2 linked regions of the Anolis sagrei genome follow. The protein of the gene in region 1 purifies or fractionates together with the protein of each later gene. This does not show direct contact. Links are inferred from orthologs where the notes say so. Each region holds a gene or a part of one and is shown on either strand. Other genes may lie near its edges. The genes, in order: PTPDC1 and PPP2R2D.

Region 1 (9,502 bases):
CAAAATATTTTTAAAAGCACAAGTGTAGCATCCAAAAAGTCAAGGACAAAATTATTTTTAGAAAGCACCATCAACAAAATGGGGATTAAAAAAAATAAAAATGGAAGAAATATTTTGAAGCAATGAGATTGGTACTTGTGACCTCATCACACTACAGCATCGATCCACTTTAAATCCGGCTTCTGCCTCCTGCAGAATTCTGGAGTTTGTAGTTTAGTGAGACCCAGAATGCCCCCTTTCTAACTACAAACTCTAGAATTCTGCAGGAAGCAGAAATTGTAATTAAAGTGGATACATATTCTAGTGTGATGAGGTAGTTGCTCAGGAATTGAAATCAGTGTAGGAACACGGTAAGCTTTTGTAATGGTTCCAAATAATATTTTTGAAGTAAAGGGTGTGCAAAGTAGTAACATAGCAATACCTATGGGAAAATGGGGAGCAACCATGTTAATGTTTATCACTTTTTAAAAATGCTAGATGAATGCTTCCATGCCTTAAATGATACTTTGGTAAATAACTCTATACCTTTTGTTGTTGTTTGTTTAAAGGTAAGCATGAGAACAGGGCAGAATTGAAAATGAAAACAAAATTTGATATGAAAACATCATCACAAGTAATTCAACAGGTATCTCTAGTAATGTTTTCTGTCCCACCAAACCCTCTTCACTTTACGATAGCTCTCATGCCAAATTCTCAACCTGCTAACTGAAATCAAAGAACATCTTGAGTGTTTTGTGGCACATATTCCATAAAGAACATTGGAATATAAATGTAGGCATGCAAGCAGCAGTTAAAAATGTGTACTTTGTGCTTGCTTTCTGTCAGAATACACATTATACATATGTACAGAGTGTTGAACAATCTAGTAAGGCTCATACATTGTGTACACTACTTTGAATTTCAGAAAAACAGGTTTCCATTGATGTTGTAGTTTAGTATCTTTACCTGTTCTGCCAAGTCCTGCATGACAATGAACAGCTACTCTCCCTTCCTGTAAGGCAAAAGTCATCACTTTTACCATATCGAGGATAGTTGTGAGAGAGGCCACGCCATAATCCTTCCATCCAAAGTTATAAAAATAAACTAGAAAGAAAATATTGTAGAACAATAGTGTTATCACCATCAGAAGACCCTAAACAGTGTAATGTATTGTATTATAACACAAATAGTGTTAAGATTTGTATTCAAAAAGAGATCTGAGCAGATTTAAGAACAACATTTTTGTTTCCTGCATTTTGGAATTTCTCTTTGAACTCTAAATTCCACTTGTAAATCAGACAATGTATTTCCCAGAAATCTTGATTTAGAAGACCTATGATAAAACAAAATGAGTTGAGCACACATGTGTATGCAACCTCTCCAAACAGAATACACTTAAATAGGAACAATATAACATTTTGCCTAAAAATAACAACATCCCTAATTCAATGACATCTTTCTCAAACAATTGAAAGTCTTCTCAATTTGAAAAATGTGGCATTTTCTGTGGGACAGGGAAGGAAGCCTTCCTGAAGAAGCAAAAGACAATGGAATCTGCATGCAATTGTGATCTTGTCAGTATACAATACTATCACAGATTCAGCATCACTACTAAGCACTGATACCCACCTACTGCAGGCAGTTTACTAATTTACTATCATGCTTCCACACTGGATCAATGCATGCTTTACTTCCCATTCTCTACAAGTTGTCTTTTTAAGCAAATATTCATCAACTCGCTGCTTTTAACCTAGGAAGTAGGTGGCAGTAACAGCCTGCAGCACCATGCTTTATAATTATAAGGAACAACAGCAGGAACAAACTTACTTCCCGCCTCCATGAAAGCCTCAGGAAGGTAGGTGAAACCGCTCTCTTGTTCCAGTGGATTCCCGCAGCTAGCATGTTCCCCAGGACGTTGGAGGTTAATTACTGTTTTTATACCACATCTTAGGCAAAGAACAAGATGAGGCATTACTGAACTAGGCACACATTCAGTCTCTCCCCCAACCCTCCAATGTTCCTTCTTAACTTCAAATAAAATGTCACAAACAATCCAAACAAAGCCAGGAAAGGAACAATACACTTGCTTTACAAACAGAAAAATATAGCAATTTATTCCAATATAGTCATTTTACCTTTGGAACTGTTCAATAATATTATACTTTTCAATAAGTTCTGTTGAGGGTCGAGACATGGCTAAAATATTATCTGTAACCCTGAGAATGTGGGGAAAGAAGTGAAAAGTTAGGGGTTAAAATATTTCAGATTCGGTATTCGTAGGTAATTTTCTAGCTAATAAGCCATGACAATTTAGCTAACTATGTGCTTTCAAGCCATTAAACGCCTTTTATCCCTATGTAGCTGGAACACTTTACATAACAAAATGCCATTAGGGTGCCAAAAGCTTGTGATATTTAGAATGTGCGTAACACAGGATATGCATACATTTCTATATCCATCATAGCAAATAATTACACATTCTTTTAAAGTGTTCTTTTAACAGCTTTATAAAATGGTTTATACAATTTAAGCTCCTGGTTGAATGTTTCTATAAGAAAAGCCATGCACTGAACTGTAGCCAGGAGCTGGATCCAGTCTGTTTTTTGAAGATTCCTTTTGAAATCGATATGACAGGTTTACTGTGATTGACATCCTATTGAAATAAATAATAGTCTAGACATCACACACCATTTTTCACAATTTAAGCATGAACCCAAGACCTAGAGCTTTCCTAACCATATTTATATGGTTCATGCATGGTTACTTGTTAGTCACGCTTCATTTAGCTGGTTTACGTATATGAAAGATGACTAACCCAAATCTGTATATAATTTTTTTCTGAAAGTAGGCTCTTGCTTGATCTTGGAAGCTAAGTGGGGTCAATCCTGATTAGTGTTTGGATGGGAGACTGTCAAGGAATACTAGGTGTTGTAGTCTATATTTCAGAGAAAGAACTGACAAAACAACCTCTGAGTATTCCTTGCCTTAAAAACCCCTATAAAATTCATGGGGTCACCATGAGTGGACAGGCAATTTGAAAGTACATACACATACACACAATCTAATCTGAAACTTATTTACTGAGAAGTCAGTTCGACAGGACTTAAAACTGAGGTGTAAAAGAGCAGAGATTTAGATATTCACATGATTTTTTTAAAAGTCTAGCAGAAGCAAATACTGCACACTACCAGGAAGAATAGAGCCCTTTAACAGCCTGTTCTTGGTCACTCCATCGAGTTGGGTTTTCATATTTGCAAGCACGGCCACCACATGCCATAGAGCATTGCATATGACCAGGGATGACATGGCGAAGACGCTCTCCAACTTTTGTGTATTTTGCCGTAGGACGCCTAGACCTTCCTGCAACAAAATTCAAGACCAAACAAAATCTTTCAAGAAGATATAACTCCTACATTTTTTCTTTTTCTTTACAAAATGACAGTTGCAAAGTATTACCCAAAAATGCTTGAAAAAAAATAAATTAACCTTTTTAATGATATAAAGTGACTCAAACATTCATCTCTGCTTAGTTATAGCAAAAAGACCACAGATACATTGACACAGAGCAATAAAAGTCCAAGCATAATTCATACAAAGGAAATTGCCAATACTTTACTTTTTCTCTCATAGAAAGCAGCATTTAATTCCTCTGGGTTTACGGAGGAAATTGCCACCATAACTCTGTGTGTAGAAGTTGAGAGGACCTCTACCACTGAACTCCGTCGCCTATGAAGTACGCGGAGAAGAGGATCGGAGGAAGAATGTCTCCGACCCTGAAAAAAGTTGCTGAAAATATTCACTGTCAGGCGTCTCCTGGGTGAGCCTTGCATGATCGGTAGCCACTACTTGCAGCAGCTTGGATATGCTGGAGGAAGTCAAGCCGAGCGAGGAATCTGACTTGCTCAGTACTGAACTTACAAAGAGACATGCATCTTTCTGTATGATCTAATGGCTGCTCCCGATAGGCTGGCTAGTCTCCATGGAAACCAACAATGAACTCACTGAAAAATCCTATATCAATTGATTCTGTGTGGGACACACAATGTTTCCTGCTGGATTACAATCGCTCAAAGCAGATTATTCCCAATGGGTCAAGAACTCCCAAATAGTTTCATATGAAAAGGGAAAAGTTAAAGAGTCTTGAATAAATGCTCTTCTTGGATAAGAGGCAGCTTCTCTATAGCACATACTTTGAAACTAATAGTGTTCAAGAAATCTCAACTGAAGTGTCATGAATAAAATCTGAACTATGTGGAGTATTTTACAGGAGAAAATAGCCTTTCTCTGGAAAATGCCACATGATCATTTTCTAACACAGTACATTTATGTATCATACTGAAATAAAAAGTTTTTTTTAAAAAAGATTGTAAAGTATCCAGTTCATTTGCATTATATAAGTAGCAAGAAAAGGCACAATGAAACATGTTAAGAAAATGTATAGAAACAATTTCAAAAGTGAAACAGAAAAATGCACGAATAGGGAAATTAGTCCTCCTCACTTGAACAGAAAAACAAAGGGAGCTCTTATTAGCAAAACAATAGTTCAGTAATCCAAACATGGATTTACATATCTGCTGACTTCAGCTTCAGCAGTAACCTCTACATAGGTAGTCAGAGCAAACAAACCAAAAAAGAAAAGAAAAACCCAAAAGTGAGAAAACTTCACTGATAAATAGGGCTATCAGATAAAACACCGAATAGAAGTTCTTTGAGGACAGATTTTTGTTGGAAACCACTAGAAGTCACTCGAGGACTTTCCAAAACAAACAAAAAAGGCTGAAATTCATAGATATGATTTTACAGCAAAACAAGCCAAATAGTCTAGCCTATCATAAATGCTAAATTACAGCATATGGAGAAACAAATGATTTACTAAACTTTATTAGCCAAACTAATAGTCAGTTACATTCTGAACCTCCTCTTTGGTGTAAGCTTCAACATTTTCCATGATTTGCAGGCCCGAATGTGGAAGAAGACATAAATGAATTGGGCAGTCTTGCTGATGTTATAACCTGACATGTCTTTCCTCTTCCTAATCCTTGCTAAAGGACAAAAATAAGTTAAGTTTTGCTTCTGAAAGATCAGATATTTATATGGATGTCACAATTCATACTTGATTCTCCTGGCATGTTTTAAAATTTTTAGATAATAAGAACTAACAAAAGCTAGAGTGGGAAGTTTGGGTTAATCAGTACAGAGAAAGATTATTTTAGAACACAGAAAAACTGAACATGTATCATGTCTTTGTAACATTCATTCACAAATGTACCTGTGGAGGAGGCACTGGGGAAACAGCAAAGTACAGTAATCAATGCTCTGTCAATTTAGTCACCCAAAATAGAGATCTGTATAACAAAATTTTAAAAAGCTTCTTTTTTAACTTTCATGATAGGTAGGCATAATTACTTTCAACCCCACTCTTGATTCAGGAAAGGCTGGTACAGCTTTTAGACAGGGATGAAACAAAAGCCTGTCAGATTTAGATGTATTATTACAGAGAATAAATTATCAAGTTTATTATTTACAGTTTGATGGCCAAAATGCTTGACTTTTGGATTTTGTATATCAAGCAGCAAAGTTTTTTTTTATTATGGGTACATTCAAACTTTTAGAATGTTTAAAACAAAGGGATTTGTAGTTTTGCTGAATGTCAAACAAGGTTGGCTTTTTTCAGCCTTGTTTGCTATTAATTAACATATGTTAATAGCAATTAACTAGCACAGGGATAAAATGTATTTTAATATCCACATATACATCAGCCTCATGTATAAGTCAAGGGAAAGATTTGGGGACAAAATTATGGATTTTGATATATTTTCCCCCATGTGAGATGCCATTTCATTCTCAGCATTTGAGGTATTTTATTGATATAGCAATCTTATTTCAAAATGGCATTATTACAAAATGTAAAAATCCAGCTAAACCAGAAAATTTGAGACTTTTTTTCCTGGGCCCTCAGTCATTGGTCCTGCCCTCCAATTCTTTTTATCACAATCACAATCCCTATTGCCAGCCTGATTACACAGGTGCAAAGTGGGCCAGAATGGCCTGGTATAGATAAATACATCAAGAAAGGCAAAAGCTGTAAAGCTAAATGCAAGCAACAGGTTCTACCAGGAAAAAACCCTCAAATAACCGCAAGTGAGATCTAAAGAGAACTGCAGAGGGAAGAGTTCTATTTTAGTCATCTTTGTCTTTTGCTCCATGTTTAAGGATGCGTGTGAACTCAATGTAGCTGAAATTGCCCTTTTTATCAATTGGTGCCTCTCTGAACAGCTCATCTACTTCTTCATCTGTAAATCTGTCTCCCATTGTCATCAACAATTCTCTCAGATAATCTTCTTGAATGAAGCCTGTTGCTTCTTCATCAAAGCAAGCAAAGGCATTCCTGATTACAACTTCCTGATCAGTGCCATTTAATTTCTCTCCAAACATTGTGAGAAACATAGTAAAATTTATGGGTCCGGGAGCTTCATTCATCATGGCATCTAGATATTCATCAGTTGGATTCTTCCCAAGTGAAGCAAGCATATCATGCAGGTCTTCTTTGTCAATGAAGCCATCTCTGTTTTAATCAATCATGTTAAATGCTTCTTTGAATTCTTGAATTTGGGACTGATCAAACATAGCAAATACATTGGAAGTAGCCCGCTGAGGGTGCTTCTTTGTGGTCTTGGTCTTTGCCCTTTTGCTTGACATGGTGGCTGTTGGATTCTGAGTGGCAACGAAGAAGCTTCAGCTGTAGAAGAAGCCAAGAGAAAGACCAGTGGCTCTGGAGTACAGGAACCCAACAGCCGCAGCACTTCCGGAAGAGCCAGTTCATTCTCATTTCCAAAATATACCAATTCCTCTTTGTGATTCTGTTTGGGTTATCTTTTGACAAGATATAACATAATCAGTTTGTCTACAATGTATGTAACATATGGAGTTCACTGAAATCGGGATGTTATTTTAACACCTATGTTGTACACTGTACATTTAATGAAACTGGCACAGGGATAAATCTGGTACCAGCCCCTGGCACAGTGGAAAAGAAATGTTAGTCAGCCACATCAGATATTTAGGAAGCAATGTTTACTGTCTGGAGCAGGGGTTCTCAAACTGTGCTCTGTGGAGTCCTTGGGGCTCCAGGAGTGATTTCCTCCTCCTGAGAAATGCAGAGAAATTAAAGTTTTGAGCTGCTGGAAATAGCAGCAACGTCCTCCAGGGCACAGACTCTTTCTCCTCTGCCTCCCTTGCTGCACAAGCTCTTTTCCTCAACATCCTTCTACCTCTTCTTTGCTTCCAAACCCCTATTTTCCTCCCACCTCTCAGGGGGTGCTTTGATTGTGCTTTTCCTGCATGGCAAAAGGGAGTTGGACTGGATGCCCCCTGGGGTCTTCCATGTTGGTGAAAATTGTTCTTCCTTTTAAATATTGTATTTTTCTTTCTTTCTTTTTGCACAACAAACGAGATATGTGCAATGTGCATAGGAATCTGTGTCCCTCTGCCCCCCAATTACTTCACACAAACACTCTCCATCCATCTGCCACTGGCCCTGCCCATCTGTCAAATTTTAAAACGCATGACAGCCCCCTGTGTCCAAAGGTTTGCCCATGCCTGATATATATATTATGCATAATATATTAGATAATATAGTAGATAATATATAAATGTTTCTTAGGTCTCCACAATAAACTTTTGTTTCAAAAAAGGCTCCACAGCTGAAATAGTTTGAGAACCCTTGTTCTGGAGAGACAAAAAGACCAAGAATTACCAATTTGTGCAACTTTTGGGCAGGGTCTACCGTTAAAGCATTTTGTTCAAACTATGACTTAAAAGAAGTTATGATAGTGATAATCTGTCATTCTGTTAATTTTGTTTTCCACTTGCACAATGTTATCATTTCATTAATGATTCTGCTACAGCTGCCCATTTCCTACCCAACCCCCTTTGTAAAAGTGCCTCTAGAAAGTCACAGAAGAACTTTTTCTGAAGATGGAAGCCATACTAGATCTAAATTCTGTTACAACTACACGTCCACAGTAAGATGGTGAATGAAGTCGGACTGGTCTACTGCTAGGCTATTTATGCAGCTGCCCAGCTGAGATAAAGGTTTGGTGCTACAGCAGTAAGACACAGCTTTCCTACATATGATTCCATACATGTTTTCAATCCTCAAGAACAGTGCATAAAAATAAATAGGATCCTGAAACTGTCAAGGTAACATAGGATCACAGATAAAAAATAAATTGTATGTAAGATATGTGCTGCGCTTATGACTAGACATGAAGAATGGATAGGTAACTGGCACAACATGTTGACTAAGGGAGACAAGTTCACAGTGCAATTCTATGCTGTTTATTCAAAATTAATAAGCATCAAGGTCAACAAAACTTCCTTCCTGGTACAGCTGTATAGGACTGCTTTCAAAAACACTCACATTTCAGCTGAAGGAAAGTATAAGCTATTCTTCCAGGAACATACTTTTATTTATATCAAAAGAACACTATATTTTCTAAGACAGTATTTCTCAAACAGTGCTTCTCTGGGTGTTTTGGACTTCAGCTTCCAGAAATCCCAGTCAGTTTACCAGCGGTTAGGAATTGGTGTCCAGAACATCTGGTGTCCAGAACATCTGGAAGAGTACAGTTTGAAAAACTCTGATCTAAGATACCAGTGGGTACAAGAAAGAAAGGGGGGCATATTTCTTGTACCCATTGGTATCTTAGAACAGATAAGGGAAACTTAAGATAAAGGAGACTCAAAATCATGTTTCGGCTCTGCCATAGCTATGACTTGAAAGTTATACCCTATTTGCTTCCAGTTCTCATCTGTAAAATGGGAGTAAAGTAAAACTCTCATAACCACATGGATATGTTCCAAAACCACAGATAATCACAAATACTATTCAAATGAAGTACTTCTGGCCCAGGAATAGCACAGAGTCATGCTGGAGGACCTAGAAATGCCTAGGGACACTATATTTTGTTGAATGTGGATAAATTAAAGAGCAAATACTGGTTCCATGAAAACTGGGGTTGTACTGAAATAGCTTATTATATTCCGCTGCAGTAACACAAGAATAAAAACAAAAACATTCTCACTACTCTATTTAAAATTAAAGTGGTCCCTCTTGCCTTGAAAACTATACAGCTTCTTCAAATCTTCAAAATCTTGTAACAGCTTAGGTGTCATCTCTTAGTTTTTCAGTTCTGTACAGGAATTCTTTCAAATTTTCATCCATGAGATATGTAGTATTAAAAAATGATTACCTGAATTCATGTCTGCAAGATATGCACTGCTTGTTACCAGAGAACAATAAGGTAATTCATTTTGCAGTAGGACTCCTGCAGCCATTGCAGTACCTGTTGAAACAGAACATTTAACACTGATTATGTTTTCTACATCTGTTGTATGTTGGCTGTAGGGTCTTGAAAGGTAAGCAGAAGAAAAACAATAGGATAGAACATATTGACTTATGTCTACAAGTTAATCCAAACCAGAGGAAGCCAAAGATTAACATTTTTGGTACCGTTTTCCT
Region 2 (8,808 bases), on another chromosome or scaffold:
TAACATCCTTGCAGACAGCCTATTCTCTCATACCAGAAGGGACTAGCACGACTGGTAGTTTCTCAAGTCGCTCCTGACACGAAAAAATGCAGAATTATGCAATGGATTCAAATGGCAGGAAAAGACAAGGAAGAACCTCCTGATGGTAAGAATAGGGGCCCTTCTACACAGCCATATAACCCAGAATACCACGGTAGAAAGTCCCAGAAATCTGCTTTGAACTGGGTTATCTGAGTCCACACTGCCATATATTCCAGTTCAAAGCAGAAAATATGGGATTTTATTCAGCTGTGAGAATGGAGCCGCAGTTCAAATCAGATATTGTGGGATTTTCTGCCTTGATATTCTGGGTTAAATGGCCATGTGGAAGTGCTCAGAGGCCCCTTCCACACAGTTGAATAAAATCCCAGATTATCTGATTTGAACTGAAATATATAGCAGTGTTGACTCAGATAATCCAGTTCAAAGCAGATATTGTGCGATGTTCTGCTTTGATATTCTGGGACATAGGGCTGTGCGGAAGGACCCTGAGTCCAAACTACTATATATTCCAGTTCAATATGGGATTTTATTCAGATGTGTTGAAGGGGCCTGGGATGGAGGCTTTGATCCCTTCTATGCTGCCGTATAATCCAGGTTATCAAAGCGGATCATCCACATTATCTGATTTGAACTATGTTATATGAATCTACATTGCCCTATATGGCAGTTTTCTGCAATGGACTCAAATTGCAGGAAAGATATTCCATCTAAACGTGAGGAAGAACCTCCTGACGGTAAGAGAAGGGATCCTTCCACACAGCCATATAAGCCAGGGATTTCCACAAAGCTCTATATCCCAGAATATCAAGGCATAAAACCTCACATTATCTGAATGTGGACTCAGATAACCCAGTTCAAAGAGATATTGTGGAATTTTCTGTCTTGATATTCTAGGATATAGGGCTGTGTGGAATGGCCTCTTGAATATCAAGCCAGAAAATCCCACAGTATCTGCTCTGAACTGGGTTATCTGAGGCCCCTTCCACACAGCTGAATAAAATCCCTCATTATCTGCTTTGAACTGGGATATATGGCAGTGTGGACTCAGATATTTTGGGATATCGGGGTGTGTGGAAGGACCCTGAGTCCACACTGGCATATAATCCAGTGTAGACCCACACAGCCCTATATCTCAGAATTTCAAAGCAGAAAATGCTACATTATCTGAGCATGGACTCAGATAATATAGTTCAAGGCAGATATTGTGGGATTTTCTGCCTTGGAATCCTGGGATATAGGGTGTGTGGAAGGGCCCTGAGTCCACACTGGCATATACCGTATATACTCGAATATAAGCCGACCCAAATATAAGCTGAGGCATCTAATTTTACCACAAAAACTGGGAAAATGTATTGACTTGAGTATAAGCTGAGGGTGGGAAATGCAAAATAAAAATAGATACCAATAAAATTACATTAATTGAGACTTCAGTAGGTTAAAAGCTTTTGAATATTTACATAAAACTGTAATTTAAGATAAGACTGTCCAACTCCGATTAAACCATGATTCTCAACTTCTTCCATGTAAATGTGCTCATCTATCCTTCCCATAATAATTAAGAGAGTAAAATAATATATGTAATAATAATAAATAGAGAAAAATAATAAATGCAATATAAACAATCATAGAGAAAAATAATAAATGCAATAATAATAATAGAGTAATTTTTTTTTGTCGTGTCAGGAGCGACTTGAGAAACTGCAAGTCGCTTCTGGTGTGAGAGAATTGTCTGTCTGCAAGGACGCTGCTCAGGGGACGCCCGGATGATTTGATGTTTTTATCATCTTTGTGGGAGGCTTCTCTCATGTCCCCGCATGAGGAGCTAGAGCTGATAGATGGAGCTCATCCACCTCTCCCTGGATTTGAACCTGCAACCTGATGGTCTTCAGTCCTGCCAGCACAGGGGTTTAACCCACTGTGCCACCGGGGGCTCCATATAGAGTAAAATAATAAAAGTAATAAAATAATACTAATAACAGAGTAAAATAATAAATAATCTCGATTCGAGTATAAACCAAGGGGAGCTTTTTCAGCCTAAAAAGGGGGCTGAAAATCTAAGCTTATACTTGAGTATATACAGTAATCCAGTGTAGACCCAGGGCCCTTCCACACAGCCCTATATCTCAGAATTACAAAGCAGAAACTCCCATATTATCTGAGTGTCAACTCAGATAACAGAGTTCAAAGCCGATATTGTGGGATTTTCTGCCTTGATATCCTGGGATATAGGGCTGTGTGGAAGGACCCTCATTTATTTATTTATTTGGTAGTTTTGTATACCGGTCTTCTCACCTCCATTCGAGGGACTCGGGCCGATTTCCAACATCAATATTACAGACCGTCATTAAAACATCATATTTCTAAATAACACTAACACATTAAAACATTGAAACAATTAAAATAGCAAAAATACAATCATATGATTACAGTGGTCAGTCGTCATTAAAGTCATTATTCGTCGTCATCCATCCATATCACAGGATCATGGCTCATTCGTTGAATGCCAATCCCCAAAGCCAGGTTTTCACCTGTTTCCTGAACGTTAAGATCGAAGGAGCAGTTCTGGTCTCCAGTGGAAGGGAGTTCCAGAGTCGAGGGGCCACCACCGAGAAGGCCCTGTCTCTCGTCCCCATCAGCCGCGCCTGTGAGGCCGGTGGGATCGAGAGGAGGCCCCTCCAGACGATCTTAGTAATCTTGATGGCTCATAAGGGAGGATACGTTCAGACAGGTAAATTGGGCCGGAGTCCTTTAGGGCTTTATAGGTTAAGACCAGCACTTTGAATTGTCCTTGGAAGCTGACTGGCAGCCAGTGGAGCTGGCGCAACAGAGTAGTATGCTCCCTGTACCCCACTCCCATTAGTAACCTGGCTGCCGCACGTTGTACTAATTGAAGCTTCTGGGCAGTATTCATGCAGTTATTAAACTATATGGCTGTTTTCTGCAATAGATTAAAACTGCAGGAAAAAGATATTCCACCTAAATGTGAGGAAGAACCTCTTGACAGTAACACTGGGATGGAGGCTTTGAAACACGAGGGTGGGTGGCCATCTGTCGGGAATGCTTTGGTGGTGTGCTTGAGCATGGCAGCGGGGGGGGGGGGGGGGGGGCTGGAGGGCCCTTGCAATCTCTTTCAGCGTTGTGATTCTTCAAATAAACCTGAACGAGCGCGGGGGAAGCGGTGTGATCATAACGCTTTCCCCTTGTAGGGTGAGAGGGCAGGGGGAGCGAGGCCTTTACCTTCCGCCACGTCCTCGTCGATGGCCCCCTTGACCTGGGAAAAGCACCACTGGAAGTCGTTGCTGCCGCCGCCGCCGCCTCCTCCTCCTCCTCCGCCGGCCACTCCTGCAAGCGAGGGAGGAAAGAAAGAGAGCGCTGAGGTCCAGCCACCCCGCCAGGCCCTGAAGGCGCCTCCCCGGCGACTAGGCCCAAGCCCACTGCCCTGCCGCCGGCCCAGGGCCCTCCTCTCCGGCCTCGCCTTACCTGCCATGTCGCGCGGCGCGTGCCGGCCGGAGACTGGCCCTTCTGCCAAGCCCGCGAGGCCCAGGCACCCACCGGGGCGGGAGGCTAGAGACGCCGCTTCGGCTTCCGCTTCTGCCGCTGCTTCTGCTGTGGCGGCCAGCGCCGCCGCCGCCGCCGGAGGTTTGGGGGTTTCAAAATGGCGCCCATTGCCGGTCAGCCTGATCCGGTGACGTCATCCCTCCGCCAGCCTCCGACGGGCGGGGGGAAGAAAAAGAGGGCGCGAGGAGGATGGAGAGACTAGGCCCGGAAGGGAGGGAGGGAGGGAGAGCCCGGGATTGGGCCAGGGAGGCGCACGAGCCGGCCGGCCTGCCTCGGAGTTTCTCCTTCCCTGCTTCCCCTAAGGCGGTCGAAAAAAGAAGGAAAAAGCGGCTTCTCGCCCGCCCGAGGCACAAAAAGACCTTCCCCCCCTAGTGGAGAAACCTGGGCATGAATGAGGCTGGCGTGGTTGGCGTCGCCGCCTGCCTCCAATTTGGGCAGAGGCAAAGGAGAGGCAAGGAAAAGTTGCTCATCGGGACTGCAGAATGGCCCCTTCCACACAGCTGAATAAAACCCCACATTATCTGCTTTGAAGTGGAGTATATGGCCGTGTGGACTCAGATAACCCAGTTCAAAGCAGATATTGTGGGTTATTGGGTTGTTGTAGGTTTTTTCGGGCTATAGGGCTATGTTCTGGAGGCATTATCTCCTGACGTTTCGCCTGCATCTATGGCAAGCATCCTCAGAGGTAGTGAGGTCTGTTGGAATTAGGAAAAAGGGTTTATCTATGGAATGACCAGGGTGGGACAAAGGACTCTTGCCTGCTGGAGCTGGGTGTGAATGTTTCAATTGACTACCTTAGGAGCCCCCGGTGGCGCAGTGGGTTAAACCCTTGTGCCGGCAGGACTGAAGACCGACAGGTCGCAGGTTTGAATCCGGGGAGAGGCGGATGAGCTCCCTCTATCAGCTCCAGTTCCTCATGTGGGGACATGAGAGAAGCCTCCCACAAGGATGATAAAAACATAAAAAATCATCCGGGTGTCCCCTGGGCAACGTCCTTGCAGACGGCCAATTCTCTCACACCAGAAGCGACTTGCAGTTTCTCAAGTCGCTCCTGACACGACCAAAAAAACCCCTGACCACCTTGATTAGCATTTGATGGCCTGGCAGTCCCTGGGGCGATCTTTTGTTGAGAAGTGATTAGATGTCCTTGTTTGTTTCCTCTCTGTTGTTTTGCCATTTGGAGCCATGGAGAAGAAGAACTAAACAGTTCCTGGACCATCTGAACAGCATCCAACCAAATATACAATTCACCATGGAAAAAGAAAATGAAGGAAGACTGCCTTTTCTAGATGTCCTACTCATTCGTAAACCAGATCAACAATTGGGTCACACCGTTTACAGAAAACCCACACACAGAGATAGATATCTACACAAAAACTCCAACCATCACCCAAGTCAAAAAAGAAGCATCATTAAAGTCTTTGCAGACTGTGCAAAAAAATCTGCGAAGCCCACCTCCTCCAAGGTGAATTGAACCACCTCAACTGGGCTCTCCAGGCCAATGGATACTCCACCTCAGACATCAGAAGAGCTGCAAGACCGAGAACAAGCCATGAGAGTCAAGACAAAGACCCACCCATAGGAAAAGCGTTCTTGCCATACATCAAGGGAACCACTGACCGCATTGGGAAGCTGATGGGGAAACATAACATACAAACTATCTACAGACCCACCAAGGAAATCCAACAAATGCTACATTCAGCAAAGGACAAGAGGGATCCTCTCGCCTCTGCAGGAGTCTACCGTATACCATGCAGCTGTGGACAAGTCTACATAGGGACCACCAAACGCAGCCTTGCCCAAACACGAATCAAGGAACATGAAAGGCACTGCAGACTACTTCAACCAGAGAAGTCAGCCATAGCAGAGCACCTGATGAACCAACCTGGACACAGCATTTTATTTGAGAACACAGAAATGCTGGACCACTCCAACAACCACCATGTCAGACTACACAGAGAAGCCACTGAAATCCACAGTCATGTGGATGATTTCAACAGAAAGGAGGAAACCATGAAAATAGACAAAATCTGGCTACCAGTATTAAAAAACCTCTAAAATTACAATAGCAAAACAACAGAGAGGAAACGAACAGGGACATCTAATCACTTCTCAACAACCTGTCCAAATGTATCTTCCCATATGAACCATCTCTGAGATTAAGATCATCTGGAAAGGCCCTGCTCTCAGTCTCACCTCTTTAAGCGCAACTGGTGAGGATGTGAGACAAGGCCTTTTCAGTGGTGGCCCTTCAGCTATGGAACTCCCTCCCCAGTGACATTGGATCAGCCCCCTCCCTCCTAGCCTTCAGAACAAAGGTAAAAACGTGGCTGTTGGATCAGGCTTTCAGAGAATAGTGCAGTGCAATGAACAGATTTGAAATATATGGAATGACTATGGAATGGCTTGGACTACGACTATAGGTGGCGTAATTTTAATATGGAATGTAATGTTTTTAAATGTTTAATATGTTTTAATTTAATTTTAATTTTTGGCATTGTATATGTTTTAAGGCATTGCATAATTGCTTCTATGTAAGCCACCTTGAGGCAGGGTGTAAATAGTTTAAATGAATAAATAAATAAATGTTGGATTTTATTCAGCTGTGTGGAAGGGGCCTCTCTCTTGGCCCTTCCACACAGCCATATAACGCAGAATATCAAAGCAGATAATCCACAATATCTGCTTTGAACTGGATTTTCTGAGTCCATACTGCCATATAATCCAGTTCAATGTGGATTTTATACAACTGTGAGGAAGGAGTCCCTGACTTGTCTTGTCAGAAGGGTATGACTTTGTTCTGGCATCCATTTACAGTAGACTCGGGTTCCTTCCACACAAATGTATGAAGATAACGAAATACTCTGTATGCTTGCATGGGAGAAAGAGAGATTAAAGTGCAATGTATTTTTAATAGGAGAAAATGGTCCCGTATGCATTAATAGATAGAACTATACCGTATAAAAATAGAAGTGGGTCCCTGCTTGCCGAAACACCGGTGAATGGAACATGCCATGCTAAATTGCTCCTAAGCATCCTTATCTTTATGTTATAGGGTAGCTGCTGAATAGGATATGCCTTTTTGATATCAATTCTGATACTACCAAGAAAATATAAGAGTTTATATAACACAAATTTTAAGTGTTGGTGAAGAAGGTAAAATGTAAGCAAACCCACTTCTGCTTGTAATTGTTGCAAAGAATGCTTCCAAGATTATATAAGTTTCAGCATTGTCATCTTCCTCCTGCCCACAGCATAAATATTTGAATCATTCCCCAGTCCTTCAGCCAGAACAACTTGTTCTTTGGATCATTACACACATGTTGCTGCTGTCTTCATGAAACCTTGGCATGGCCTGTAAGATCCCAATTTTAAAGTGGTCTCCGGCAGAAGGACAGTTTTGCAGTGGCCAGTGGAGTTATATGTGTTGTGTGCCTTCAACTCATTTCTAGCTTACAGAGACTACCAAAAGGTGAACATATCTGTGCAGGTACAACTGTACCAGTAGCTCCAATTTTGTTTGCTTAGCATTGAATGTTTGTTGCAGTCCTAAGTTTCAGGGACTCTGCAGATAGGTGGCTTCTTTTGGCTGCAATCATAGGGCAAGCCACCTGTCAATTATTGTTAGGCTCCCTGGTCCCGCCCCTTTTTGAGTTTTAGTGGGAATAGGGGCCATTTTGAGTTCAGTTCTCACAGAGAAGCCTTTCGCACAGGACATAAAACGAAGAGCTCATGTAGAAAGCTTTGTCTTCTACGGCTTGGCCGGGGAGATATACAGCCTACAGCTTGGCCCGGGAGAAAAGGCCCCACAGCTTGGCTGAGGATTTTACAGCCTTACAGCTCCTTTGCTGAGGGACTTCGGCCAGCCATCACAGCAACCTGAACTCCTTCTTTTCCCCTGGAAGTCTACAAAGCTCTGCTTGGCAAGGGTCGCTCGTGGAAGCCAGACACAGTTGGTACCGGGTGCAGGGGCTCCACGCCAACAGAGGCAAGTACAGACTGCCCAGATTAGAAGTTAAGGATTTCCCCATTAGTTAGTATACAGTTATGAAGATAGTGCCTGTTCCCAGTGAACAAGACTGCAAGAGCCAATAGACTGTTAAGAAAGCTTTAAAGTACCTGTTTGTTTGTTGGATTTTGAACTTTGTTGGATTTACTTTAAGCCTCTACAGAACTTCGTTTTGGGGAGGTCCAAGGGCCTTTAATCTGAGGCAGCCCCGGCGTCCCATTGGGCACACAGAATTTATGTCCCGTCTACAGTCATATGCACAGGCCCAGCGTGCGACAGCACAATATCATTTCATTTTCTTGGCAAGGTTTGTCCAGATGAATCATAGAGTTGGAAGAGACCATAAGGGCCATCACGTTCAACACCCTGCTATGCAGAATCACAATCAAATATGGTGTTTACTTTTGCCTTCCTCTGAGACTGAGGCCCCTTCTACACCACCATGCAAAATTCTGATTATCTGCTTTGAGTATCTGGTGGTATAGACTCTTATAATCCAGTTCAAAGCAGATAATTTGGATTATCTGCTTTGATAATTGGATTGCGTGGCAGTGTAGAAGGGGCCTTAAAGACACAACTAGCAGAGTAACATTGTAGTAGTATTTAATTAACATTGATTATGGGATTGAATTCAGACAGGATATCCCATTGTGAGGTGCAGTTCAAGCAGGTTCAAGAAAAATCCTTTAGTGGGCTAGCCAGGCCCGTAGCCAGGATTTTGATTTGGGGGGTGCTGAGTTTGATTCGGGGGGGGGGGGGGTGAGTTGGATTCAAGGCAGGGGGCTGAGGATCTACCCTAGCAAACCTTTTGTATTGTTATCCCAATAGCCCCATGCATATGGGATATATTGAGCATGGTGATCAGATCATAATATGAATAAACATAACAGTTTAAATAATGCACCAGTAAGGCCTTCTCGCGGACCACCCTGAGAATTTCGGAGGGGGCTGAAGCCCCTCAACCCCCCCCCCCCCCCCGCTACATGCCCGGGGCTAGCAGTAAAGCAGATAACGGCAGCAAAAGAGCAAAGGACAAAAGTATATTGCATACAATAAATGATTACATCCAGGGCAGTTTAGCTATGCATAAGCAGATACATAATAGAGGTGTATAAAGTTATGCATGATGTGGAAAGGGTAGGAAACAGTCATCAACTGTTGCTGAATCATAGAAGATCAAGGACTGATAAAATGACACA

Evidence for each region.
Region 2: the proteins of PTPDC1 (region 1) and PPP2R2D purify together in Homo sapiens (affinity purification with mass spectrometry; 5 studies listed by BioGRID and IntAct, counting the BioPlex papers as one, with this or other methods). This does not show direct contact. The link is inferred for Anolis sagrei from reciprocal best matches to the Homo sapiens genes PTPDC1 and PPP2R2D.

The regions. Positions count from the first base shown.
Region 1 is NC_090022.1:62,538,606-62,548,107, reverse strand, and holds the start of PTPDC1 (protein tyrosine phosphatase domain-containing protein 1), read right to left. Parts: upstream 4,291-9,502; 5' UTR 3,810-4,290; coding exon 3,596-3,809; intron 3,340-3,595; coding exon 3,168-3,339; intron 2,196-3,167; coding exon 2,115-2,195; intron 1,926-2,114; coding exon 1,807-1,925; intron 1,084-1,806; coding exon 946-1,083; intron 1-945. UniProt on the Homo sapiens protein: May play roles in cilia formation and/or maintenance.
Region 2 is NC_090023.1:191,353,942-191,362,749, forward strand, and holds the start of PPP2R2D (serine/threonine-protein phosphatase 2A 55 kDa regulatory subunit B delta isoform), read right to left. Parts: upstream 3,900-8,808; 5' UTR 3,530-3,899; coding exon 3,523-3,529; intron 3,385-3,522; coding exon 3,280-3,384; intron 1-3,279. UniProt on the Homo sapiens protein: Substrate-recognition subunit of protein phosphatase 2A (PP2A) that plays a key role in cell cycle by controlling mitosis entry and exit. Involved in chromosome clustering during late mitosis by mediating dephosphorylation of MKI67.